2 linked regions of the Drosophila melanogaster genome follow. The protein of the gene in region 2 interacts with the protein of the main gene of each other region in a pairwise test. Each region holds a gene or a part of one and is shown on either strand. Other genes may lie near its edges.

What was found.
Region 1: the proteins of CG12075 (region 2) and Hesr interact in a two-hybrid assay, tested with the Drosophila melanogaster proteins (one large-scale study listed by BioGRID).

What each region holds. Positions count from the first base shown.
Region 1 is NC_004354.4:18,203,794-18,207,111, reverse strand, and holds Hesr (HES-related), read left to right. Parts: upstream 1-1,967; 5' UTR 1,968-1,991; coding exon 1,992-2,153; intron 2,154-2,281; coding exon 2,282-2,569; 3' UTR 2,570-2,709; downstream 2,710-3,318.
Region 2 is NC_004354.4:8,836,128-8,841,431, reverse strand, and holds the start of CG12075 (uncharacterized protein), read right to left. Parts: upstream 3,110-5,304; 5' UTR 2,948-3,109; intron 1-2,947.

The sequences.
Region 1 (3,318 bases), 9.4 Mb from region 2:
CGGGCTAATCGATACTCGATACGATCCATAATTTATGTGCTACGCGTCTATTTCTGGACTTCCGACACTCTCCTATCGCTTGAGGTCTTCGAAAGCTGAAAGTTTTGGCTGAAAAAGATCTGGCTCTGGAATCCCAGCCAGCCGTAATCCCTGTGACCCACTGATGCCAACGCATCGTTGGGCGCGAAATGTGGAAGAGTTGTCAATGCCACGCGGTGTGGCCCCCCGAAGAGCGCGCCAATTTTCACCGCCCGACGTCCCACCAACACGCATAATTTCCCACGCTCCCGGCGGGAAGTGTTGGAATGGGCGGGGAATGGGGGTTGCGTAGCAGGGGGATTCACGAGGGGGAAGTCCTGACAAGTTGTCAGCGGGGCTGTTAATGAGCTGCGTGTGTTGAGTGAAAACGTGATGAATCTACACTGCCTCGGCCCACTTGTGCCTGCCCAGAAATGTGTAAGTAATCCCCGAGTTCTCAAAGATCAGCGAAGATCAAAACAAGATCTTAGATTCCAAGTCATGGAACGCTTAGCATAATAGCTCACCTACTTGTGGGAAAACTTTTAGAAGTGCATTTAATCGTTAGAAATGTTTTACAGTCGTATAAGGTAAATTATTCATCCCATTCAATAAAATACATATTTTGCATAAATTATTGCAATTTTATAGTTTTTTTTTTTGGAAGTTATGTCTCCTTAACTACCCACTGTACTAAAGATCTAAGGAAAATTGACTTTATAACAGAGATAGAGAGTATAAGCTATGTTATACCCCCTTATTTAAAGTCCAAGCTCAGATACCCTGCAGTAAGGGTATGCAAAGTATTGCAATTTGCGCACGAGCAGACAGCGACAACTATTTGATGATCTGGGGATCGGAGCAAAGTTCTCTGGCACACAACATGTGTCGACTCCCCTGCCACGCCCACCGGTACCGCCCCCCGGCCCAGTGTGGCGTTTAATAGCTTGCCTCAGCAGCTTGCCGCAATCGCGTGCACCAATGGTAAGTGGGGATCGAGCGTGGGAAACGCGCCCTTGCCGTAATCCCAAAAAAAGGCCATTTGAAAAGCACAAGTCCCTTCGCAGAAATATCAACAAAAACAAGGCAGCAAATCAGATACTTCAGCTGGCGCGGAAGCCATCGCAGAAAACCAAATAAACAGAAGCCTCCAGAAACAGATTCTCATCGGTTTTGACACCAAATGAAGTTGTATAATAGTCGAGTGCACGGGAAAAAATATTCCAGAACGTGAAGAAATATTTTAATTTTATATATCTTGAATAACATAAAGAATGGTGTTGACAAACACCACAGAACATAAGTTTGTAAATTCATACAAGAGAATTCAACTTGTATCTTAACTTGTAAAATTAGCTATACTTTCAAATAAATATTATATCTCCAATCATTTTTTAAAGTGCAAATCAATTTGTGATTGAGATATAGGCATACAGGGATTGTATGGTCCAATATATCTGGTGTCTTCTGGTTTTCTGTGAATTATTTGGAACTTCCCCAATTCGCGTTCCCTTCGAGCAACCAAGTATCCCAGTAACCAGCAACGTTTACTTTTCCGATTCCTAGGAACCCCAAGTAGGTGTCTTTAGGCCGGCGACAACTTTTGCCATCAGCAAATTTTCCTCAATGAAACACGCATCGTCTGCAGTCGACATCGCTGCTTCGGTTGCGTAAGCTGTCAGAAATCTGAGATGGTTAATGCAAGGTAAGTAAAAAAAATAAAATGCGACTGAATAATACCTCGCAGTATTTAGTACTAAAGACCAAAACAATTGTGAAATACGAAAGATGCAAATTGTGCAAAGTAACTGTAAAGAAAACCAAGGGATTCATATATGGGATGAGCCCATATTTCCGTAAAACTAATATGCCCTGAGCCGTGCTACTTAGGGTGTATCTAAGCTGCCGCTGCTGCTCCAATTCCTTGGGCCATTCAGTCGCTTAAGATCCGAAGGTGGAGCTGGGCCAGGCTTATGATGGCACGTCCCGAGGAGCAGAAGTCTCATGTTGGAGCAAAGTCACGATCTCATCAGTATCGAGAGGTTTTTAAGCCAATGATGGAGAGGAAGAGGCGGTCACGCATCAATCGCTGCCTGGACTTTATTAAGGACCTGCTTCAGGAGGTGTCGCATCTGGTGAGTGGTCTCACGTTGACCTCTGACCCATGGTCTTCTTACTCATCTCAGCTCGTAGCAAAATGATTTTGTATATTGTATCTCTTAAAATTGATACAATATAATATGTTTGAAATGTTTGCATACAGGACGGCGAGACCATGGCCAAAATGGATATGGGAGATGTCCTGGAATTGGCAGTTCACCACCTGAGCAAGAAAAACTGTCCGGTGGCCACGCCCACCACAGCGCCTACATCCGGAGTATATCAGAGCCCAATTGATTGCTATTGGAGTGGCTTTCGAGAATGCGTCCTGGAAGTGTCCCAATTTCTGCAACACAACGGCTATCAGCCGAGTTTCGAATTTGCGAAAGAATTGGATCATCTTGTGGCCTCCACATCCAAATCCAAGCCAAATCTCTGGAGGCCCTGGTAGTCGTCATGGGAAATATCCACTTAAGTTCCTCAACTCACAATTTTTAAATAGGATAATTATAAACTATTTAGACCCAAGTCCACTAAAGACAGTTTTACAATAGAGGCATGAAATAAAACTGCACATTCGTTTTTTGCTTTAAGTTTATCTTTTTCTTTTCGCAATAATTCCAAAAACTTGTTAGGTATGTGGTTTGTGTGTAGAATGTAGAATGTGTGTAGTGTAAGAATGAGTTTCCATTGGGGGTTTAAGTTTAGAATCGTTTTAATTGTTAATAAACATTGCTTAATGCATTCGAATGCTAAATTAAGTATTGCTTATGTTGAATATAATGCACACAAAGTAAGATTTTCATCTGCTGCTATCAGTATCGTTAACGTTATATCAATGTAGTAGCTTACTAGATACCCAAAAAAAAAATACATATCAATAGAGTAGTCGAGAAAAGGTGTTCTTTGAGATTATCCTTAAGCTTATTGGCTTTTTGTTTAGCAAATACGTGTGAGTGAGCATGGGATTTTCTTACAGTCTATGCTGAATTTTTTTGTCGGGACCCTCAAACTTTCCGCCTTTGTATGTACAATACGAGTATATGTATGTAGTTCACAATAATTTCGAGTTTGAGTGTAAGAAGCGCGAAAATTGATTGTTGCTGCAGTTTGTTTTAGTTTGGTTTTCCATCGACCTGCTGATTTGTATCTGTTGCATATATGTATAGGTATACTCAAAGTTTCGTATATTTAGATATC
Region 2 (5,304 bases):
TGAAAAATGGCAAAAGGGCGAGGTAACCGATAGTCGATTTAATTAAGGTGCGTGTGAATTAGGCGTCCAGGTAGCCACAAACCATCGATCAAGAGGCCTTTTCCAACATTCCATTCAAATGAATTAACTTTGCAAAATACATATTTCTTTTGCCATAACATTTGATAAAATACTCCAACTATGGAATGTGATATATCGTTGTGCTCGTAATTCAATTTCCAATCAAACTGTATTCAAAAAGAAGAAAACTTTTTTTTGCCATTGTTTGTAAGTTTTGAAAATTTTGAAAACATGCGAAAATTTGGCCAAAAATTAATTTTAGAAAATCAGTTTAAAAGTGAGAGGGGTTGTTAGTATTGGTTGTAAGGAGTATACAATGGTACTTCTTTTTGCTCTGTGACCATTTTTAGTCAAGTTATACCCAAAAAAGCCAACATGAAAATTCAGTTTTTTGCCAAAAATAGTTTCCAGATTTTTTGTGAAAAAAATAATCGGTTTTTCGATCATAACATTGGAATAAATTACCCAAATATGGAATGTCATACCTCGTTGAGTTTGTTTTTTAAATTCCAATCGATTTGCATTCAAGTTTGGGAATTCTAGGATTTTTCAATTTTTTGCAAATTTTGATGATGTTACCCCTTACAAAAAATGCGAAAATTTGGCCAAAAATTAATTTTACAAAATCAGTTTAAAAGTGATAGGGGTTGTTAGTATTGGTTGTAGGGAGTATAAAATGGTACTTCTTTTTGCTCTGTGACCATTTTTAGTCCAGTTATAGCCAAAAAAGCCAAAATGAAAATTCAGTTTTTTGCCAAGAATAGTTTCCAGATTTTGTGTGAAAAAAATATTTGGTATTTTGATCATAACATTGGAAATAATTACCCAAATATGGAATGTCATACCTCATTGAGTTTGTTTTTTAAATTCCAATCGATTTGCATTCAAGTTTGGGAATTATAGGATTTTTCAATTTTTTGCAAATTTTGATGATGTTACCCCTTACAAAAAATGCGAAAATTTGGCCAAAAATTAATTTTACAAAATCAGTTCAAAAGTGAAAGGGGTTGTTAGTATTGGTTGTAGAGAGTATAAAATTGTACTTCTTTTTGCTCTGTGACCATTTTTAGTCAAGTTATAGCCAAAAAAGCCATCCTAAATATTGAATTTTTTGGCAAAAATCGTTTCTCTCTGTATTCTGATCAGAACATTCGATAGAATGATCCACATATCGAGCCTGGGGAGTCAATTATAGACTTTGAATCATAAATCTCACTTTTATAGTCAAGGGCCCATAACGCGTTTATCAAAGTCAAAGTGGTTTGATTGGATAATACGATATAAGTAATTCGTGGTCTGCAATTTGACTTGTACTCACTTTGAACACCATTATCTGCAGTGAGCATTTGCAACTGCATGATTTCGCTTATTGAATTTGTTGCACGACTTAAATGATCAGGTAAAACTCAGTTGACCGAATGATTTACTTGACATTTTACCTCGTCTACAATTGCTCAAGATGACTGCAATGATGAAAATAATAATGGAAATGCATATGGAATATCAGAGGCTGCAATTTTCAGTGTGGCATTAAATTCCTTCACTTCAGCGAAGCGCAAAGACAGCAGCCAGATGATATGAGGGAAAATCGGGGGAGAGGGGCCAAAGAAAAGCTTAAAATGTTGGAAAACTCGTTTCGTCTCGGCCAAAAGAAAAATGCAGATAAAAATAAATAACGAAAACGAAAACTGAATAAGAAATGGCATCTTCTAGGGCAGCAACGAATATGGATGTACCCTAAAATAAATCATGATACGGTTCGCTTGAAATCCCTTCGAAAGTTACAATTTAAAAGATACTTCTTCGCTATCCAGTTTACCAAGCCGATTGATTAAATCACATATAATTGTATTATAGAAATTAAGTACTTTTAAAGTCTAAACAAAGGGTAATTGGTTTATCGCTACCCAAGAGCTGCTAACTCTGGCGAAATAGGTGAGACGAGAAGTTTTTGTGCGGATGGTGGTAAGTCGAGGAGGCCCCAGCGCGTCCAAGAATTTTCCTAGCCAACATCTTGATTGTGCCTACATCAACTGGGACTGCGGTCCCCTTCGAGCCTCTCGAAACTTGATTTCAGCGTTGTTTATGAATTTGTTGGCCATCAGGAAAGGCAGCAGCCGGAGCATAACACACAGCCACTGCAAAACACTTTTGGCCAGGCTGGGACTAAAGCCCCGTAGCTGAATGCTAAGAACTGCCTGATGATGCTGAGCCTGGGTGAATGGTCAAGTCATAAATAAAAGATCTTCGGCCAGCATTCTGCAGATGTTGTCTCTTTAATTACCCCCAGCACATATCGCAGGTTCTTGTGAGCGGTGAGCAAACACACACGTTTAATAGACCAAACCTAATGTGCAGCCTGATGACAAAGAGCCGTTTTCCAACGTCTTCCGCTTTTGGTACCAAATTCAGGCCAAAATCAACTTAATCCGCATTTCTATGCGATTCTCACAGAGCATAGCTAATTAGATGGCAGAATCTCATTAGATTGCATAGATTTGCCAGGGCTCTCTATTCACGAGCTGTCATAAAGGTTTTTGGTTTACTATCAATCTTAAGATGTTTTTTTTTGGTCCAGTTCTACGAACTCATGCTGCATTTCAAAATAAACCCAATTGTCTTTGGTTTTCACCATGTTTAGCATCGTTTCACATATTTTCACCTGTTATTCTACACAATTTCCCTCACACTTGGTGACCTTCCATCCGGCCCACTGGCCCCCCAGCTGCACTTTCATCTCAAGGGTGACCCACACTAACTCTCTGAAAGAAAGCTCTCTCACGTGCTGGTATAAAATTCATTCAGATCGCGCTCATCTTTTCATAGGCCACAAATTGGCCTGGCCAAAATAAATATGCGAGCTGTGTTTAATTTGCCGTTAACTTACCTCATAAAACAGTGCTTATATTTTAGTGTCTCGTTCGAAAAGTAATTAAAATAGGCACTTTTGTTTGATTTTAACAGGAAAAAAAACACTGAAAAGGGACTGTTTATACTGATTGTTAAGTGGCTAAAACAACCAACTTCTTTGAAACACGCGCATAAACTAAAAATTAATAACAAAAACAAAAACACGCGGGAGAAAGAGGAGAAAATAAATGTGTTGATTGTGGCATAAAGGGGGATCTTCTGAAACCGGTTTTTGTTCAACTTTTATGAGCTTTTCACAAATTGTAGCTTGTTTTTTAGCGCAACTAAATAATAAAACATTTTCGAAAATGTACAACTTAGTCGGGACACAGCACCTGAAACAAAAACTGAACGACGTCTTCGTTAAGTTAGCGCGCAAGAAGTTCGCTTTTAGTACATTAGCCAAGAAATGAACCATAGTGCATTAGCTAAGACACCAACCGGTACTCAAAATATCTCTAAGCAATTCTGTAACTTTAAATTTAACTGAGTGATAACAGAAAAGGTAAATAAAATTAACTGTGATATTTTGTAAATTTAAAAAAAATGGAAATCTTTTTGAAACTGGTAAAACCATTTTTTAATGCTGTGCTCCTCATTACAGTTTGCTTCTTTATTTTTTTATTGTCATCGGATATTGTATTGTGTTTCTATTTGCGTATTTAATTTTACATTTTGCACTTGCATTTCGAAGTTAGAAATTGAAATTATGATTTCATTTTGAGCTTTCCCTCCCCATGTTCTCGTGCAAAAATATTTTCATTTTTAACAATTTTTAACTTTCTGCCATGAAAATGATAAAAGTTAGTCAATTTTTTGTGCGCGATTGCAAGGATTGTGTGCCTGAGGATGCTTCGCTCGAAACTTTCGAATGGCACACAGATACTCGCACAGATACGCACGCACTCACACATACACATACAAAAAATGCCCGCGGCTTAACGCTGCGCAAAGCCAACCAAAAACTATGAAATTTCTATCTGGTATATATGCATGCATGCCAACTACAGTGCATCCTTGAAGTTGATACACATTTTCTGCGAATCTTTATTGTTAAATATGTATGCACTGCAATATAGTTTTATTTGCCAATACTGTCATAATCTTCCAAAAATAAATAAAATGTTAACTTAAGAAAACACACACATACCTGTTCGTTTTGCGGAGATTCCACTGTTTTTTTTTTTGTGGGGCCATTTGTGCGTTTCAAGTGAGGCTTCGCAAACGAATGCCGGAAGTTGCCTTTCGAATGCAAAATGCAAATTTAAGGAAAAGGAGCATCGTCAGGGGGGGGGCTTTGGTTTTGGTATGGGGTGTGCGATAAGGACACGCTGATAAACGAACTTGAACATTTTTTGACAGTTGTGCGTATAAATCTTGAAATGTTTTAATTTGCTTGCGAATCGATTTAAAGCGCACAGCAACGAAGTGCAAAAAAAAAAACGCAGCGAAAAATGGCAAGACAAAAAATGGTTGAAAAACGCAAAAGAAGCGTAGAGCAAATGGCAACGTAGTCCAATGCGGCAAGCAACATCGTTGCGTATGATTTATGAATGACATTTCAGCTCTTCAATATCCTGCAAGCATTCGGGCAATGGTGAATTGCTGATGCAGCTTGATGACTTAGAAATACAAAAACCTTTCACAAGATTATTTATGAATGCAGTGAAATAGGTGAAGTTGCATGATATTGCATAGTGTTTCGAAAATAATCTGTTTAATCTTTTAATATTTAAGCTAGTGTTGAAATATGAAGAATTTTGTAAATAGTCAAAATATTAGGGTATTCCAGTGCTCGGCTACCAGCTAAGCATTTTTTTTTTCGTTGTGTGTGGAGCATCGCGAATTAGCCAAAAGCCGTTGCCAATCTCAGTGTCCAGTGCCCAGTGTCCATTGTCCCGCTGTCCATTTGTCCGGCTTTTGGTCATGGTATTGGAGTTGGAGCTGGAGCAAGAGCAGGAGCAGGAGCAGCAGTAGGAGTGTGGGGTGTTTACCTTTAAAGCGTCGCTGCTGGCTCGCCATTTTTTGCCTGGTTCTTTTGATTTTGATTTCGGCCTCGCTTTTGTTTTCATTTTTCCACTGGCGGCTCTGCTTCAGCGCGCTGTCGCTTTTTTAGTGCACCAGTCAGAGTCACCAGCCCAATCTCAATCGCAGTACCAGTCCCAGTCCCAGTCGCAATCCAAATCCGAATCCGAATCCGAATCGCAATCGCAATAGCAATCCCAATCTCAGCCAGTCGCCAATACCAGAGATTCCGATCCAGGGCCAGGCAATTCCATATCATATTTTTGCATTGACCCCGGTCCGCAGTCGGTTTTTTGCTCTTGGCGTTTA